Linked DNA regions of Alligator mississippiensis. The protein of the gene in region 1 interacts with the protein of each later gene in a pairwise test. Links are inferred from orthologs where the notes say so. Each region holds a gene or a part of one and is shown on either strand. Other genes may lie near its edges.

What was found.
Region 2: the proteins of KIFC3 (region 1) and DEUP1 interact in binary tests that used the Homo sapiens proteins (3 or more experiments, as listed by UniProt). The two-hybrid records come from large-scale screens. The link is inferred for Alligator mississippiensis from reciprocal best matches to the Homo sapiens genes KIFC3 and DEUP1.

The regions. Positions count from the first base shown.
Region 1 is NC_081833.1:38,413,796-38,423,793, forward strand, and holds the start of KIFC3 (kinesin-like protein KIFC3), read right to left. Parts: upstream 4,760-9,998; 5' UTR 4,644-4,759; intron 3,273-4,643; 5' UTR 3,155-3,272; intron 3,076-3,154; exon of another isoform or gene 2,755-3,075; intron 1-2,754. UniProt on the Homo sapiens protein: Minus-end microtubule-dependent motor protein. Involved in apically targeted transport. Required for zonula adherens maintenance.
Region 2 is NC_081824.1:448,091,530-448,101,735, reverse strand, and holds the start of DEUP1 (deuterosome assembly protein 1), read right to left. Parts: upstream 4,467-10,206; 5' UTR 4,416-4,466; coding exon of another isoform or gene 4,405-4,415; intron 1-4,404. UniProt on the Homo sapiens protein: Key structural component of the deuterosome, a structure that promotes de novo centriole amplification in multiciliated cells.

The sequences.
Region 1 (9,998 bases):
TGTAAAATATATTTAAAAATCTAGACAGGTCCAGGAAAGCAGAGGTCACCAGTACTTGAGCCCTGGCTCTGCAGTGTGCTAGGGAGTCCTTACCGGTAGAGTCAGGTAGAGGCTGTGTGGGCCCCCAAGGTCAGACCAGTTCATATGGAGGATTTTACATTGGACCACCGTAGGCAGCACAGGAAACTGGGCAGAGCTGCTCTCTTCACTGCCACTGGTGAATGAATCCTCTCCACTCCATCACACAACAAAAAACAATGTTAAACAAACTGACTAACTGGAGACTGGCTAGGAACACCTTGTCTTGCTGAAAAGTGAGGAGGGTCTCCTTTAGGGATCTGGTCTCATTCAAGCTGTCTCTGCCCCCCCCCCCCCCCCCATTCTGTTCCATGTCATCCATCATCATGCTAGTAACTCAAGCTGGTATTCAGCCCCCTCCCTTCTCTGGCTCACAGCCAAAGTCATTAACAACTACAGTGAAGCTTTCAACTCCTGCTGCCCAAAATACTTCAGGTTAATGGAGAAACTGAGAGCTTTGTATGAAATCTCAGCCACAGGTCTCTCACACATACTAAAGTAGGGGGAGGGGAGGAAAAGGGCTGAGAAAAATTAAGCAAAGATACAGCTTCAGCTGAGTGAGCAAGAGTGCTGTCATATTCATTTCACAAAAGACCCATTCTTTCTTCTTAGCATGTTGTTTAGAAAATGTAAAGTACTATTCAAGAAGTAAGCATTATTGAAATGTTTGCTATGCTAATGAGAGACCTGAGTCCTCTAGGGCAAGTAAAATCTGTTAGCAAATCCATACATGTTATGGGAATTAAAACTGTAGCTTCTACAATCTGTCCTTGTATCTTTATGTAGAAACCTGTAAAGAATCCAAGACTGATTTATACAAACTCTCAATCCACAAGCCTGGGAGACACTTGAACTTTTCTATTCAGGCAAAACCTCATACAAAGAGACTGGCAGTCAGGACTCCTGTGTTCTCCTCCTATTTTTGCCATTTGCCTGCCATGTGACTTCACTATCAAAGATCTTACCCAAAATAAGTTGTCTGACCTGATCTGTATCACAGAAACCTGTCTGATTAAGAGTGCAGGTACAGAAGTGCTGGCTTACCTCATCTTCCCACACCTTACCTCATACCACATGCTCTGTTCACCACAGAACCAGAACCAGACAGGACAATCTAGAAGCAAAATCACTGTTCTGTTCACTGTTAGCCCAAATTAAGAGAAAAGCTCCCTTGGGGGTGGGGAAGGAAGAAGGATCATCTAACAGCTCTCTCAATGCTCAGCTGGGATGATCCCAAGGAAGGCTGAAATGATGCTGGTAAGACGGAAGCACCTTAAAGAACCTGTCTTGTCAGCATCATCCCCAGTCCTCACAAGCATCTATTATCCCAAAACTGTAAGGTGATGCTTTGGGGTATTGCTCAGTAGTACTGGATACATGAATCATTAAATTTGCAAAAGACACCTCCAAGTGGACAAGAGATTATAGTCCATGCTAAGGGTTGGTCATGGCGAACTACTCGCCAGTGACGTCTGGGCTTGATTATAAATCATTCCAACTAAAAATGCAGCCCAAGGCCCTGAAAAAGCTTTAGCTGCTACAAAATCATAGCAACTCTCTGCTTAAGTAACACAAATCATCATGACCTCAACTTTATCGCCATAAAGTGGCACAAGCTACCCAAGAGAATACTTCTCCCTCTGTGACCATCACTATCTATGACAGCTATTTCGCATTCAGACAATTAATACACCAGCCAGCAGAGGAAAACTTGTAAGTGAGAGGAACAAAACCTGCACTTCGGAACCAGTTTCTGGAAAATAAATAAATAAAACGTTCAGAACTAAATGCAAAACTCTCTCTTTGATTTAGATTTTCCTTGATCAGTTCATCTCCATCATGAATACACAACCCCCTACCATCAATTAATCAAAGTAATTTATTTTGTAATTGGGAAAGTAACAGAGAGAGACTCTTGTTACAGTTTTGGTTTTTAAATACTGTAATTGAAAAGCACTCAAGAGACTAAAGGTGACAAAAGCTGTAAGGGCAGAGACAGATGGATAATTTCTGCTAAATCACTTCATCTCTCACTATGTTTCTTTAACTGTCTGTATATAGGAACAATGATATTTCATACAGTGAAAAAGAACTAATGTTTTCAAAAGAACTTGTGGATCGTAGGATGACTAGTGATGTGTATATGCAAATAGTATGCCTTATTATTTCAGCACCAAGCAGGACATAGCCAGATTTTAATCACACACAACATCCACTCTCCACCTTTCTGTTCCTCAATACCCACCATCCTGTCCACCTAATACCAAAGGAATGCAGAAAGGTCAGTGAGGAAATGAGAAAAAATGCATTTTCAACCCCTCCACCCCCGCAACTGCCCTGCCTCTCAAACATATTTTTATGGTCGGCAAGAGTTAAAACAACCTTTCTATATCAAAGCAGGTACAACTGTCAGATAAGCTACTGCCAAAGCTTAAGAACTTAAAATATCAGAGCAAACAGTAAGTTTCCCATCAAAAATATCTCTTCCAGAAGCCTGGCATTAGCATTTAGCCCCACAGTGACCCTGAAGTCCGAGACTAGCATGAGACAACAGCGCTAGCTGTGTGGAACCCCAGACAAGCAGCGGCAGGTTTCAACAAGCAGCTTTCAGTTCTTTCAGCTGCTTTTTGAAAACATTTCAGTCCCTGTGGAACACCACACAAAAACTAAACTTACCTATTTGGTTTATATGCGGTTGGGAGACAACACACCCTTCCAAGGAGCCGAGATGAAGGACGACCAGAAGCCACGTGTTTTTTTGTTGTACAAATCACAGATAATCATTTCTTTCACGTGTTAAAATTTAACTTTTCTCCCAAGGCTTCTCATTAGAAGAGAGGGCAGCACCCTCAGCACAGCAGCACCTTTATCAGCTGAATCCTGTTGTTACCTAACAGCCTACATTTGTATGGGAATCAGTTTCCCCAAATCTTAGTTTCATCTCTGACATCTGAAAAACAATGTCAGAAATGTGGACTCACTGGTTTTCAAGTCTCTCCTTGCCAGAGTGTGAGAAAGGGCAGGAGCAGGAGTGGGCCGGGCATGGAAGGAGGATGAGCCATTGCATGATACTCACCGTCTAGAGGGAGGTCCTTTTTCCACAGGTCTCTCTCTGAGAGATTGAGTCTCCAATCCCAGGTCTCGCAAGATGTAATCATGGCATAGGGTTCCCAAGCAGACCGGCACCTCAGGGCCTGGGAATCAGTGCAAAGAAAGGTTTGGGGTCAGTACTGGATCAAATACCAGCTGAAGAAAGGTAACAGTCCAAGGTGAAATACTCCAGCAGGTTATGCAAACAGCAGTGCCGCAAACTCAACCCTAACCCCAAACCATCTTGCAACTATCCAGATTTAATGCTAGGGATTTATTACAAGAAATACTGAAAAACAGATTTTACACACACTGTGCTCATCATTCACCCAGTAATTCCTCTCTTATTTCCAGCTTCTTTCACTACTAAAATTTGGTTTAATAACTTCTTAGATCATGAGTTATTCAGGGCAGAGATCATCCACTGCCCCTGGGTTGGGGAGGGAGCGTGTTCCTATGACAAGATGAACCAGCAGCCTTCCTACGAATCTGCGCATCACCAAGCACAAGGACCAAGAAACAAACATCAGGCTTTTACCAGCTCTGCTCTCTACCACACTATGCTGTGATCCTGGCAGAGGCCTTCAAGAGTTATCACAATACAAATAAATCAACTGAAAATATGCAGTTGTAATTCAGAGAGAGCATCTTGCACTGGTTTCCTCTTCAGCAGAATACCCTCTAATTTACATGCTTGCAATTTAAATCTCATTTGATGCTGGTGATCTGACTTGGTGCTGGCCTTATGTGTCTTTAATCAGAGCATTATCAGGCCAGGCTACAGAACGAACACTACAGAGGTTGGAAGAAGGCAGGGGAGTCAGCGAGAGAGAAGTCTTATCCACGAAGAGGTGCAGCTGCCCTTAGATGCTCAGACCTCTTTAGCCCCCAGTCTCGCTCAGCCGGGGAAGGACTGCTTCACCCACTGCACAGCCCTTTTTAAATTCTCTGGTTGATGATGAAGGACTGGCAGGGTTTACTCGTATCCGGCCTCAGTGGGATGGCTCAGGATCAATGCACACTGCCAGCATGCCCACCTGTGTCCTGTGCAGCTTGCCCACTGGGTCCCCTGTGGAGAAAGCACCCGGGAACCAGCCCTGGACACCTAGTGCCCCCAGCCCCTGCCTGGAGGCTTTGTTCTGCCTCTAAACCCAAACGCTGGGTGGAAGGAGGGACCCGGCCCTGAAGATGAACCCGCCAAACAGAACAGCTACAGAAACAGGCCTGGGGCTTGGCAAGGGGGGGGCGGCATGAAGGGCATCAGATGAAAGAAGGGGTCACCGCAGCCCTGCGCTCTGCTCCAGGCCTCCCAAACTAGCGGAGACCAAGCCAGGCTGGCGGGTACCTAGGCACTGCCACACCTCCCGGGCAGGGGCAGCGCAGTGGCTATGAGGAGAACTGTCCGGGCGGGGAACGCCCCTGCTACCGCCCCGCCCCGTCCCGTCCCGCACCGCACCGCACCGCACCGCACCGACCTGTGCCCGCGGGGCCGGGCCGGAGAGCAGGGCGGCGGCCGCGATCCCGCCGCCGCGGCTGGGGCGGGAGGCGGCGGCTGATGCCGCGCGGGTCGCCCGGCCGTAGCCGCCCCCTTCTCCCGCTGTCAGCGCCGCGCCGAGCCGGGCGGGGCGGGGCGGGACGGCTCCCCCCACGGACACTTTTCCACAGGAAACGACTGACTCCAGTCGCTGCCGGTTGCTATGGCGACCCGCTTCTCGCAGCGCAGCCACCGCTCGGCCGCACCGCACCGCACCGCACCGCACCCCCGGGCGGACTGGGCCGGGCCGGGCCGGGCCGGGGCCACTGCCGGTCCCGTGTCCCTGGGCGTTGGCGGCCACCGCGGCACGCGCCCTCCTGCCTCCGCTGTGCTGTGCCCCGGCCGCAGCCGCACGTGCTGAGAGGCTCTAATAATGCACCAGTGTTACTTGAAAGACCCCCCGCGCAATACCCTCGCCCGCGGGTGCCCCGAGACCCCTTCAGAGGCGCCCCGCGCTGCGAGGGGGGCAAAGGCGAGGCACAAGGGGAACACAGAGGTCTCAAAAAGGAAGCCACGCTCAGTGCTAAAAAACAAAAGCCCAGCGCTAGGGCCCTTGGGTCTGCAGCGGAAACATGGCTGCCTTCAGCCTTGCTCTTCCCTAGCCGAAGACCGAGTGAAAACTGAAGAGCGGCCTCCCGGAGGCAGCTTCGAGCTCCTTCTGTTCCTGCAGCTCGACACCCAAGGCAGAGAGCTGTTACTAAATGCTTTACCTCTCAAAGAAAGATTGTCTGTGGGAGTATCCTTATTGTTTTTTTATTATTTTAAAATACTCCTTGTCATCAGCTCAGAGGACCCCCACAGGTCCCTGCCAACCCTATGCGTCTGGGGGTCTAGGAGGGTGCTGCACTGGTGCAGTTGCAACTCCCCCCCCTCCCTTGATTCCTGCTAAACCCAGAGTTTAAAACCAGCTGCCTGGCAGTGGCAGCAGCATTTCTAGTCGCCTGGTGCTGAGGGAGCCAGTTGACTTCCTGGCTCATTATCTACCTGATCCCTTCTCAGCCCAGTGTTAACCACCCTCTCTTTTTAATTGTCTTGATGTTCCACCCATCAAGCCATCCTTTTATTCCCTTGTCTGTTAGCTGCTCCATATAAGGAAGCCCCTTTTCCACAGCACTGCAGATGGTTCTGGGCTCCTTCCAATGAAGTTGTGTGTTTTTTGTTCATTCTTAAACTAAATAACATAGCCCTAGGGGCCTTCAGCATATTAGTAGAGCTTCCTGTATATTTTTACCTGGAAGAAAATGTGTGTTGTTTTATATGTTATGGTGAATGTCACCATCTCTGCCTCGCTTTCCAAAATTCTAGATCTGCCCATGGGTTCTATGGTTCCAGTGTGCGGCAGCCAGGGTAGGCTACTCTGCATTTGATTATCATTTTGCTTTATACAGGTAGCCAGAAAACCCCATTGCCTGTCACTAAGTGCCTCTCTGATGCACATTCCAAAAGTCAAATCTGCTGAAGTCAACAGCTCCCAGCAAAACTCAACCTGCAGAGCTCCCGCGAAACTATGTATTTCCCCACAAGTCTTATTCCTTTCACTCTCTTTATTCCCCAAGAGAGCAAAAAACCAACAAAACAAACAGGTATGCCTTACTCCCTGTCAACTGTTTTACTTACTCAGGATAGCCATGCATGGTAGGGTGGGTATTTGACGGATCAAATAAAGTTCAGTCAACTGACCAGTCAAATATCAGTCAAAAATTGTAAAAAAAATTGCTAATAGGTCCAAATAACACACAGAAATGCACAAATTTTCCATTAAGAAATGTGTAAAAAAAGATCCAATTGTAAAAAATCATATTTCTGTCAAAAAAGCTACAAAAGTGTGGGGGGGGGATGTAAAATTGCTATAATCTTTGATGGGTCAAAAATATGTAGTCAGTTGACTGGTCAGTTGACAATGTTTAATCAGTCAAATGACCATCTTGCCAACCCTAGTCCAAGCATCTGAATTTTTCACAATCTCAAATTAGTAAGTAAAACAGATGAGGGATTTTTAACACAGTATACTTTTTACTTGACAATGACCCAATACATTGCAATACTTTGCACATCGATGGCACCTTAGATCTGAGAATCTCAAGGCATTTTGCCAACCTTAAGCAAGACCAAATACCTATTTTATAGATTCAGATGGGGAAGCAAATGCAAAAGAAAGGGGAATAGTGATGCATGTGTCATCACATGTTTATAGCAGAGTTGAAAGTAAAATCCAAAGAGCCTATTCCCAGTCCTATACTTTAACCACATACTAGTCCTTCCCTTTTCCACAAATTGCAGGAGTAATAAATTACTAGTTCTACATTTGCTTGTAGAGGGGCAAAAAGTGACTTTAAAATAACATTCATGTAGTTTCTTCCTACAATTACAACATAAGTAATGCATTGCAGGTGGCTTAGAAAAAAATCCCTGGAACTAGTAATTTACTAAAGGCAGGTCTACTTTTAGCTAACTTTGCCAGTATAACTATCCTGCTTTGCTGGGATAGTATATCTGACACAGCTTATACTCATAGGCAATGTGTAGGGGGAACACGAGGAAGCATATGCAACCCCTAAGATTGGCCCTCACTGACTGGGGAGTGGGGGCGCCAAGAAACGCACCAGCTGGTGTCCCCCCCAAGATTGGGAGATTGGTGCCAGCCGGGGAGTTGGGGCACTGAGAAAAGTGCCAGCAACACTTCCAGTTTTGCCACCAGTGATCAGCTTGCTGGTGCCCCTACCAAACTCAGGAGGCACCAGTCACCCATGTGCAAAACCATGCTTTTTGATGGCTTAGTTTATAGCTCCTTACCCTTCCAGAAAGAGAAATAAGCTGTTGGTAAAATCCAGTTTTACCAGTATAACTGCATCTACACTTGCCCTTGTAGTGTGGCAATTTGGTCACAAATCAGATCTCATCAGACTCCTGACCAACATAGCAAAAGTTTATAGCATAAATCTGACCTTAGAGCAGGGGTGGGCAATTATTTTGGACAGAGGGCCTCTTACTGAGTTTTAGCAAGCCATCGCGGGCCACATGACAGGCAACCCAGGGCAGATAAATATTAATTTTCTAAATTTTTTAGGGGCCCTGTGGGCCGGATAGAATGGCTTGGTGGGCTGCATCCAGCCCTCGGGCCGCATTTTGCCCACCCCTGCCTTAGAGGAATGTGGTTCCCACCCTTCCTCTTCTCCCTTTTAACTTTTGCTGTTGAGAAGTACAATGGACACCAGTGGAAAAGGCACTGAGGAAAACGAAGAGAGAAAAGACATATAGCCATGTGCCCTGAAAGGGCAAAGAGAACATTTGTTCTTTTTTTGAACAACCAGGATAGATTTTCTCTCTGCTGCAGGGCAGAGCCAAGCTTACTTTTAGTTCCCTTGCTCAGTGGCTGCAAGAGCCAATGCAGCTCCTTGTATAGGGCAGCCCTGTATCATGTCCCTGCTGCATTGACCCCAGGGGAGTTTACAATAAAAGAGAACTGCTGCAATGTAGGTAATTCTTACTCCTGCCTTCCAGCCTCCTTCCTGCTTCTAGTCTACCACTCAACACTGTCCCTCACCTTCTAGGACTTTGGCATAGGACTGTGCAGAGCTGAGAAAGCTGGCTCCGTGCCTGGAGTCAGGAGCTCCTGTACCAGGCAAATTCCCTATGGGATCCACACACCTGCCCTGCAGCTGCTTTCAGTCAGCCATGATGAATCCAGCCTCAAAACCATACCCATCAGCAGAGCTGACCCAAGCAAGGTGCAGGGCCTGGGGCAAATCAGGCCATGTGGGGCCCTGCTCCCGCTCCGATCCCATGAGCCCCAGGCCCAAAGACACTGCCGGCATCAGCAGTTCAGGGTGGGGGATAGCGAGCAGGTGGGTGGGGAGCTGCCGCTCTGCCCAGCTCTGCAGGGCCCCCCAAAGCACAGGTCCTGGGGTGGTTGCCCTGATTTGCCCCCCCGAGACAGCCCTGCCCATCAGCATACAGTTGACCTGGTTCTCCTGTGCCTCATCATTGCTGTCTTTACCAGAATCAGCATGGTTCAAGTTAAGTCAGAGTCCCCCAGCATCCCAGTATTTTGCAGCCCTGGGCTGGGCTTGGCTGTCTGCTTCAGAGAGCAGGGTTTGCCCTGCCCCCTGCTCCCTAGCTGGAGCAGTGAGGGCTGGCTCACTGGCCCCTGAAGGTAAACCCCTGGGGGCAGGGAGGGGAGTTAAACTTCCCTTCTGCCGAGTACAGAGCTGCCCTGCCCTTCTTACTGTTGGCTGTAACTGGACTACAAATCCCAGAGACACCTGGAAGAGGAAGTGATAAGCAACCCTGCAGAGTCCTGCTGCTGTGATTCTGGACTGCAAATCCCAGAGACCTCGGGGGCAGCAGGAAGAAGAAGTGAACACACAGCCCATGCTACCTATGTGCCAGAGAGCCATGCTGTAGCACCCCCTGGCTTCTGACTTGAGCCACTGCAGACATGTGGCTGCATTTCCTGAATCAAAAGTGAATGTCTGTTCATTTGTTTATTGGTTCTATCTTTGCAGTTTAGACTACCCTGCAAAGACTGAATCAATTCAGCCTCAGGCTTTTTGACTGTCTGTACTTAGCCAAAGTGACTGAATGAGGTTCAGTGCTTTTTGGGGCTTTGTGCTGCCTCAGCAGTAACCCAGCTCCTTCTCACACTAACCATCTTGGCAGCAGGAGCAAAGGAAAAGGCAAGGCTTATTTGCCAACTTGAGGCAAACAACTGTGAGGCTGTATGTGCATTTGATTTTTCCACCCAGATATGGTACTGTGCTTTCCTTTGAAATGCTCCTCTCTCAACTAGACATAAAACATTTCTCAAAGCATATTTTATAACCACTTGCATTTTAAGGGTTTGGCTAGCAATGATGGTGATTTGAATCTAGGCACTCGATGCTATTCACTGGGAGGGAGTGGAGAAAGGCAGGACCCACTGGACAAAAACATGTTTCTCTTCTCCTGTACTCAAAATGAAAGGAATGCAGACGAAGAGCCACGTGGCTGAATGCAACCAAGTACTTGGTAATTAAAAGATTTGGTCGGGGATTATCCTGTGAGAAGCAGGCAGGGTGTAAAAATAAATTTCATCTTTTCCTTTGTCCTTCTCCAGTCTCTTCCCTTCTCTACAATGTGAGCAGAGGCTAAGTGTGGCCAACTCTCATGATTTTTATTCTTTTAATCTAAAGCCCCAGCTTCTGGAGAAAAGTGATGCCCTAAGATATAAGTAGAGAAGGACAAATCTTAGATTTAAGAAGGTTATTTCTAGCCCTCATGGTTGAAGAAATGCATGAAAACATAACTTAAAGGTGAT
Region 2 (10,206 bases), on another chromosome or scaffold:
CAGAGGAAACATTATTAAGGACTTTATTAGCATGTTTTAAAACTAGTTTATGGGAAGTAAGAAACCTTGGAGTTTTTAGGGATTGACTTTCACTGAAACAGAGTGCCTGAAGCTGGGGCTGTATGAACTGAAATACTACATCCATCAGGACAACAAAATGATTGGAGAAGAAGAGGCAGGGAAGAAATGGAGAAAAAAGGACTGGACATACTTGTTTCACTGAACCAATAGAGAGGACTGGTAGGAGGGCAAAGAGTTTCAGGTAGTTACTGAGGTAATCGTTTTTCATGGGGTTCTGTATGGAGAAAAGAAGTTTTGTAAGAGTTTTTTTGTGGGAAGTTGCTGTATGTTGTTTAAGGGTTTAATATATGTAGTTGTATGTTTTCAATATGTAGTTGTTTTTGTGATATGTGACACTATGCAAGTGTAGGGTGATAAATGGGTTTTTTAAATAAAATTTGTAGATGAACACCTTTTATTTATTTATTTATCAGCATGTTTGGGTCATGTGTTTTATAGGCATGCTCTCTATCGGTTGTATTCAGCCAGCTTCATAGTTGGTTTCAACTACTGAGCACACATTGCTTCTGGCAAAAGTTTAATGATAAGCAATATATTTAATGATGTTTTCTTGTTTATGACTATAAGTGGAAGGGCTTTGCTATGCTGACTGGGAAAAACCCTTGTCTTATATTCAAGTAAATATGGTAATACATTTTATTAAGATGTAATATATTACATATAATTTTCTATTAAATAAATGCATTACTTTTATGAAGTATAAAGAAATGCCCGTTTCAGAACAGTAAAACAATTTTCTGACCTGCAATTTTAAATAACTGTCTTAATGTGTTATATTGATTTTTGTATAATTTTAACAGTGTTAAATGGAAAATCTCAGTCATATATATAGACAGAATATTTTACAATTTACTTAGAATTACTATATGTTGAGAATAATTATGTGTGTTATACTGTTGATTTATAGATTATGGAAGATCATCAGTTTGCCTGCTAGCCCATAATAAGACCAGCCTGGAAAAGGTCAGGGTCTGGAGCCATGGAGTGATGAACAATTATGCTGAGGTAGAGTAGGGAGGGTCTTAATCACTCATGAACATGCCTCTGTTGATCCACTGCAATTGTTTCATCAGTATTTTCCCATCCCTCAGAAAGTGTAGCTAAACTGAAATGATTTAACCCTGTTTAACTTGGAGGTAAGGTGCTGTGATTTCATTTCCAGGATAGAAGCAGACAAATCAGTGATAACAAATAAGCAGTAAATTGCTTCCTTCTCCTATTAAAATAACACAGTTCATTTATTCACATGCAAAATCACCCCCTTGGTTTTTCTACTTCTCCAAGAAGAGAGCACACGACAACAGCTCTATTACAGCTTTACAGCATAATACAGCAACAGCATCACTACACCATACAGTGTGGCATCAACTAAGGATAAGGGCGATGGCCCTGCTTTGCGCCGCAAGCAGGAAGAAACACTATGGGACACTGGTGGAAGGGACTAAAGAGATGCTTTATGTCCCTTTGTGTTCCTTTGTACCAGTGAACAGGATAGACTGCAATATAGTTATAAACATATTAGGTAGTGTATTTGAACTTGATCACTATATAGGGCCAGATCCCACCACTTTTAAGAAGTAATTGATTTGTATGGTATTGTTTATCCCTTGTACTGAATTCATAATCTCACCTATGTTTCCATTTCTTTTTTTTAGAAATATTTTTTGTTGTATTAATATTTTGAGACTTCTGGTGGAAGAATGGTATTTATTTTGTATCAAAGAAAAGACTGCTCAGTTGTGAGGAAAAGCGCATTTTTACTACTCAGCGGGCACATCTATGCATGCAATTAACGTATATACATAAACTCCGGAGCTTACTGCTCTGGAGTTTTATTGCTTCTGGGTGCACTGTTGAAATGTGCACTTGGAACCGCAGCACATTGAGCCAGGTCAGAGCAGCCCTGGCTGGCAGTGGGCTTGGGGGATCAGCCTGCCAGCTCAGGGCTGCTCCCCCTTGCTTAATGTCCTGTGGAGGGGCTAGCTGGGGAAAGAGGGTGCTTCAACATCATGCTAGCAAGTGGGCAGCCCCTGCACTGAAGTGCCCTCTTGCCTCAGCCAACCGGGGCAGTGTCTACATGTAAAAAAACTCCATGGCAGGATAGTACTTGTATTTACAAGTACTAGTCTGCTGCAGAGTTAATTAAGTTACTCCAGCCTAATGGGAGTGCATGTGTAGAAGCATGATATTTACTATGCAGCTAATTAGTCTACTGTGCAGTAAATGTCTCATGTAGATATGCCCAGTGGGTGCATCCACACATGCAATTAACATGGAGCAATACATTCTGGTACAATTCACACCAGTCAGCAGCTCCCAAGCACAGTGCAAACACGTGCACCCAGAACTGCAGCAGTTAGAGCCAAGGTACAGCAGCCCCAGACTGGCGTTGGGCAGTGGAGGGGCTGACTAGGGCACAAGGGTGCTACAGTGTAGGACTAGTGCAGCCCTCACACTAGCACTCTCATGCCCCAGTCAGCCTCAGTCACTGTCAACATGTGTGTTGAGACACCATAAATTACTCCGCTGTAGTACTTGCCCTAGACAGTACTATCTTACTGCAGCTAATTAATTTACTGATCCCTAAATATAGGAGCACATGTGGACCAGGACACTTTACTGAAGAGTTAATTAGTCAACTCCACAGTAAAGCACATGTATAAAAGCACCCAGGATGAACAAGGAGTTAATTATGTGAGCAATGTCTGATTATACCCTTAACAATTAATTTCCTTGCTTTTAGGAGCACAGGTTTTGGAAATAACTCGATATTTAAACATATGTTTTTGTTGCTTAGCAACAACTTTTTAAAAAAAAACATTAAAAAAAAGTTATAAGCAAAAGCCCTCACCACTTTCCCTTTTTTATTAGGGAAGTAAATAAAAATGCTTATTTTTACTAAATACATGAAGAAATGAAAATACCAAAAATATTATAAACAAGTAAATAATAAATGCATAAAATAAAAATAATAAATAAATATATAAATAAAAAATTATGAGAACAGTCCCTAGTTTATTAGATGAATCTTTTATTAAGCTGGTTCACAGTGGGCATGTCTACATGTTCATTAATGCACTTTTGCTAATCCGCATTAAGTTTAGTATCTTCATTGTGAAGTACTAGAAAAAGGTGCATTAGCTTATCTTAATGTGCATTAGCAACAGCACACTTCTTGTGACACTTAAATATGCATCAAAATAGGCTAATACGCATTAAAATGCATGTGTAGACACACCAAGCCACTGCTTCCTCTCTACAACAACCGTTACGACACATTGCAGGTAGACTTGCGTGCCACACTCCGGCTCCTGCTACATGCTACATATATTATATAGTTAACTGGTTAATTCCGCAATAAATTTAGACTGGCCACACATGCAAAGTAATTATCACTTACAGGGGCAGATCTAGGATTTTGAAAAAGGGGGAGAGGGGTGCAGATGCTGTGGTGCATCATATAAAACAGAACACATGTTTCTCTACAGATAAAGATAAGCAAGATGCTTCATTAATAAGGCGGGGACTACAGCTAGTTATTCACTTTGAAACTGAAGCAAAAAACAAACAAAAAACTTTGATGGCATGTGGATTATATCATATATAATGGCATGTGGCATATCATATATAATGGCATTTGTTGGCATGTGGCAATATCATATATAAACACACAACAAACAAGGAAAAAAATAATCCAAAAATGCTGCTTCATTAATCCTGGAGTCACTCATGTTAAATGCGTGTGTCTTTTTCAGATTCAGAGAACAAAATCATGCCTTCTGGAACACCCGCAGAGCGCCGCCGATGCTCCGCGGACAGCGACTTCTGCACCTGACCTAACGCGCACCCGAGTTAACATTTCCACACCTGAGTTAATGTTTTTAGCTAAAGTTAAAAAAAACCCCCAAAACTAACAGCGCACAGGGCTGTGAAACAGAAATAACCCGACTAGGAGCAGAGCTCTGCTCCCTGCCCTGTTACAAACCTGCCCCCTGTGTCCTTCTTCTGGGGACCAGCGGGCACGTGCCGCAAAAGGCAGGCGAGGCGGCGCAGGTGACAAGGAACCAATATCTGATACTGGGAAATCCCAGTCTCTTAAAAAAAACAAACAAACATGCCACAAAGAAGTGCAACAGCGCAGGCAAAACCAGAGCCTGGCCAGCCAGCGCCCCGGGAGGCCCCCAGGACCCAGGGAAGGCTGCTGGGGCTGGCCCAGCCTGCCCTACCCCACCCGGGGCAACTTGCCAGGGGGCTCACGGCTCCGTGCGGTCACCGGGCGCTGCGGGGCCCTGTCAGGAGCCGGCCCGCGCCACAGCTGCTCACCGGGCCTCCATCCTCCGCGCCGGGCGCTTCCCGCCGCGCTCCCGGCCCCGGCTCCCGCCGCCGTTACCGGGGCAACGCGAACACGCCGCGGGAGCGTCGGCGGGACGGGGGCGGGGCCTCGGCGCTGGGGGCGGGGCGCGGGAGGGGCAGCGAGGAGGACATGGAGAGGGGGTCGTGGCAGCGTTGGGGTGAGGGGTTATAGGCTGTGAGTGCACCAGGTCTGGGGCTCTCTGTCTGGAGGCGGGGTGAGGAGAGTAGGCTTGGCTGGAGACTGGGCAGTAAAGGGGCAAGTGTGTTGTCTTGCAAATATGCCAGCTCGGGCTCTGGCTGGGTTGCATGGTGGAGGCTGAAGTGGGCCCTGGGTGGTGTGAAGAGCTGGCCCTCCGGGGAAGCGGCACGCCCGGGTGCAAGGGGACATGGAAAAGACTGTGTGAGACCAGGGCAACACCGTGAAAACACAGTCAAAACTTTGCGTCCCAATAAAGGAGGCTTAATTTGTACCGTTGTGATACCTTGGTGCGGCTTGAAATCTGCGCAGACAGAGCCAGCGTGTAGGAGCGGTACCGTTTCCGTGCGGCGGGAGGTTACAGCCATGACTCTGGCCCACAGCTAGGATGAGCCGTGCTAGCCGGGCCCAGCCTGAGGTGAATTTTGTCTCGTTGAGCCCGGTGTAATTCACCCAGGGAAAAACGTTTCCTTTTGGTTTGATGAGCACGATGAGGGGAAGCGGAGACGCAAAGCTGTATGTGGAAGCGCTGTTATCGGTAGATAATACAATAGGCAGAAGGCAGGCTACAATGTAATTACCATTTTTCTTCTAAACAAGTAACTGCGCTGGTGCAAAATAACCTGAAACGGTTTTCACATTGCTATGCAAATAACTTACGGTACTTAGATGGTACTTATTTTCATGGGCTTTGATTTAATATAGTATGGCTTTTATGTGAAGGAAAAGCACTTTCTGAATTCCATGTATTTTCATTCTTAAAACAGGTTTATTTGCACTTGAATATCTGAATATCTTACATTTTCTGTCCATTGTAAGGGATTTTCTTGATTTCTACTGATTGTGCATAGGCAGGTATAGATTCATAGATGTTAGGGTCAGAAGGGACCTCAATAGATCATCGAGTCTGACCCCCTGCACAGGCAGGAAAGAGTGCTGGGTCTAGATGACCCCAGCTAGATGCATATCCAACCTGCTCTTGAAGACCCCCAGGGTAGGGGAGATCACCACCTCCCTTGGGAGCCCGTTCCAGACCCTGGCCACTCGAACTGTGAAGAAGTTCTTCCTAATGTCCAGTCTAAATCTGCTCTCTGCTAGCTTGTGGCCATTATTTCTTGTAACCCCCGGGGGCGCCTTGGTGAATAAAACCTCACCAATTCCCTTCTGTGCCCCCGTGATGAATTTATAGGCAGCCACAAGGTCGCCTCTCAACCTTCTCTTGCAGGTAGTCCTAAGTTCACTAACCTTCTCTCTAACCATGTTTTTCATGAAAAAATAATATAAAAAAAAAACAAAACCTGAAAATTAAACACAATGGTTGGTCAGATTTCTTGTTAGGCAGCGGCTCCAGCCACCCTCCCCCAACTCCCGTGCAGCCACTGTCACCCCACCCCTACGTCCAGCCAGAAACCTGTGTCTCGGGTAACTGGCACAGCGGCACTTTTAGTTCACCAGCACCACCCATTTTTCAGTTCAAATCCCTGTTAACTGGCACAAGTGGGGAATGGGCCATTTGAACTGAAAAACGGGTGCAATTAGTAACAACCAAATGGCTTTAAAAAAATCAGGAAATTTATTAGTGAAAAATTGGTAAAAACTGAGAATGCGGAACACTATTAATTAAACAATGGCTTCTTGTCTTTTTGCTGCAAACTCCCTTGGCTGTCCTGCTGGCGTGGAGGTGGGATTCATGCTGGCCTCGCTCACTGTCCCACTGTCCCCAGCCCCAGCAGCTGGCTGGCTCCTCTGGACAGCATGGGAGCTAGGCAGGTGGACAAGCATTCTCAGCCAGTGACCAGGTGTGCACTGCTGGTGGGGAAGAAAGGGAATTGGTGCTGCCTAAGTGATGCCCCCACTGGCTTCTTCCCCACTTCGCTTGAGCCCTCTGGTTCCCTGAGCCCCAGCAGCTGCCTACAGTCAGGGTTTTCTCATAGGCACCAGATGAGAATAAGGGAGGTTAATTAAATAATGAGGTCCTGCTACTTGCTTGCGTGCCCGCTGCCCAGCTGCTACCTCCCTAGTATCCCCAAGCTGTTATGCTAGCTTGGGGGATTCATGCTGGCCTCACTTGCTGTCCCAACTGGCTTATTGGGTGGCTGGCACCTCTGGCTAGTATGACAGCTGGGCACCTGGGCACGTGCACACCACTGCACTCAGCCACTCAACCAGTGGCCAGTTGTGCGCTGCTGGCAGGGAAGGGGGTGGAATGGGTAGTGCTTGAGTAAAACTCCTCCTCAGCTTTCCCCTACCCTTGGCTTGAGCCCTTAGGTTCCTTGAGTTGCCCCGGCTGCCCAGTCAGGCTTTTCCTGCACTTAGCAGACTGCTAAAGATTTTAAGAGGTAATACCAGGACAGAAAAAGGCCCAAGATTACAGGAGATCAAAAAAGCCCTGGCTGGTTTAAAAAGGAGTGCTCTCTCAGGAGAGGTGGTACTTGTTTTGGGAAATCAAACTAGTCTGATCATTGTAACCAACTGGTCACAGAATCTCAAAAGGAATAATTGCAAGTGCTTGAATTCATCTGTACCTCCTGGGTCATCCTGGTTTATACTCAAAGTACTCTAACCCTAACCTGGGACAGAGTGGGAGGGTATTGGTACATTTAGAGAAATCAGAAAACAACAAAGCATCTACATGTGCTTTTCAGTGCACTAAATAACTCCGCCATAAGGTAGTACTTATGCCAGGCAGTACTATCCGACAGCAGAGGTAATTAATTTACTGTGGCCTAATAGCATTGAATGTGTAGACGGTGATGCTTCACTGCAGAGCTAATTAGTGAACTTCACAGTCAAGTACATGTGTAGATACCCCCATAGAGATTTCAAATAGGAATACATAGTGTTAAAAACGGTTGTAGTCCTTCTGCATTCTTTGCAACAAAAGAATCATGCTGTTATTTTTCTGCAGTCAAACATGAATGACAACTAAGAGTTGACATTTCTGAATAGTGCCTTGAGCCTAATGAGGGATGCCTTAAGTATATTTAGGGGTGCCTTGAGCCTAAGCAGGTTGAGAACCACTGGGCTAGATGAACTGTTGGTCTAATTTAGTATGGCACTTCTTATGCTCTTATATTCTTATGAGGTCGGTTCTCTTGTCATTCTATTACTTTATTACTTTCTATTATCAATACTACTATTATTTTTACGGCTGTTTTGCCACCATGAATATAGCACACTCATCACTAATCCATGTTACACTATTCCAACTGTTTGCCCATTCCTAGGACTAAATCTTATATTTTAATTTTAAGCAAATAGGCCGTGTTCACACGAATGTGGATGTTTGGTTCCCTGGGGACAATTAGCAGCAGTGTACCTTGTGCCACTGCTAGTTGTCCACAGGGAATGCCTGTGCCACATGCCCTCTGGTGCATGGCAGGTTGCCCTGGGTGGGATAGGGGAGACTGGGGCCAGCACTGGGCTGCCCCAACAGCCTTACCTGGGATTCTGGGGGCTCCTGGGGCTGCAGTAGTGATGATCCTGCTGCTCAGAGCCTGGCCAGTAGCTAGAGTGTGGCTTCGGCCAGCCAGGCTCTGGTTTTCAGTGGTGTGCACTGCCCCTGCATGCACCATTCTGCTTTTCTATGGCGTAGGATTTTTTTGACCCCTGGATATCAAGGGGTCACCCCCATCCCCACCTGCTCCCTTGCAATGCAGAGAACAGCTGAACATGCGGTATGTGGTGTTGCAGACGTGTTTGAAGTTGTTTTCCACAATTCTGCATCCCTAATCCTATCCCTAAAGAAGTTCCATTTACTTTTCCCTTTAGGTGTGTTTTTGAATAAGAATTTTAAACATATTTAAATGATAGACATTAAAAACTACATAATCACCTGAGCTTTGCCTCAGAGGTATCTACATTTCAGTGGCTGAGTGAATTGATTTTGCTCTATACTGTTTATAAAATGTTTGGGGATACTTTGGTATGAAAGCTGCTGCATAAATGTAAGATGATGTTAGAGTTTCACTTTTACCAGAAAATACCTAGAGCTGCGGATATATTAAGGCAATATTTTCAGGTTCCCCTATCCCCAGTAATTTGAACTGGGAACACAATGGAAAAATATATGGACTGAAAAATAGTTTTTCCTCACACGGTCATAGCATTACAAAAAAACATTTGATTCATACCCCAGGGCCATTATATGCTTGTAATGATTTTTGTGTCCAGTCTCAATTTTAATGACCAAAATAGTGGGGCTGTCCTTGAGAGATTTTTTGACAAATGGATCTCACTTAAAAAAAGATATTTTTGTGTTTTTCCTGCAGCACTTTCCTTATCTCAGTTCCATCTTGTTAGTCTTAGGAGAACTCCCTGGTTCATCTCTAATAAATTCCTTTCTCTTCTTAGTGTTTAGGGTCTAGAAATATCAGTAGCCGTTTCTGGAAAGAGGACACCCTATATAGGCTAGAGTCTAAATAGAAATACACTTTATTACATTTTATAGAGGAAGAGGATGTTTTTGTAAATTTTGGGAGATCTGGGCTCAGTCCGGAGCTCTGACACAGACTTCATATGTAATCTTGGGCAAATCGTTAATTATATTTCCGCTAGTAGAAACTGGCATAAAACCTTATTTAGTCAAATAGAAGATTATAAGACAACGCCCCCCTCCCCCCCAAAATAGATTCTATAGATGTAAAATATATAAAATAGTTATAATTGTTTAGTTATAGAATCTAATTATTGGAAGTTTGCCTTGAATTTGTCCCCCTTCCACTGCAACAGCAGGGAAAAGAAATCTGGAGGGTGACGGGAAAAGAAATCTGGAGGGTGAGGTACTCCCTTTTCTCTCTGCTTCCCCCCAACTGTTTCCCCTAGCAGCCCCTTGCCCCTCTTTACTGTCAAACCACACTCTCCCTGAGCTCGTGGAAGTGAGGAACAAACTTGGAAACAATAACCTTGACTTTAAACATGACTATGATAATTTGTATATAATAACCATGCATGTACTTCATCTAGAATTGATACATGTTGAGTGCATCTACATGAAGTGTTTACTGTTGAGTAGACTAATTAGCTCTGCAGTAAACCTCTTGGCTTCTAAATGTGTGGTCCTATGACTCTGGAGGAAACTAATAAATTCTGCAGCAGGGTAGTACTTGTAAATACAAGTACTATCGTTCTGCAGAGTTTTTTTATGCCACAGCACTGAATGTTTAGATGCTGCCCCAGCTGGCTGGGGCACGAGGGTGCTTCATAGGTTTCATAGATGCTAGGGTCGGAAGAGACCTCAATAGATCATCGAGTCCGACCCCCTGCATAGGCAGGAAAGAGTGCTGGGTCTAGATGACCCCAGCTAGATGCTTATCTAACCTCCTCTTGAAGACCCCCAGGGTAGGGGAGAGCACCACCTCCCTTGGGAGCCCATTCCAGACCTTGGCCACTCTAACTGTGAAGAATTTCTTCCTAATGTCCAGTCTAAATCTGCTCTCTGCTAGCTTGTGGCCATTATTTCTTGTAACCCCCGGGGGTGCCTTGGTGAATAAAACCTCACCAATTCCCTTCTGTGCCCCCGTGATGAACTTATAGGCAGCCACAAGGTCACCTCTCAACCTTCTTTTGCGGAGGCT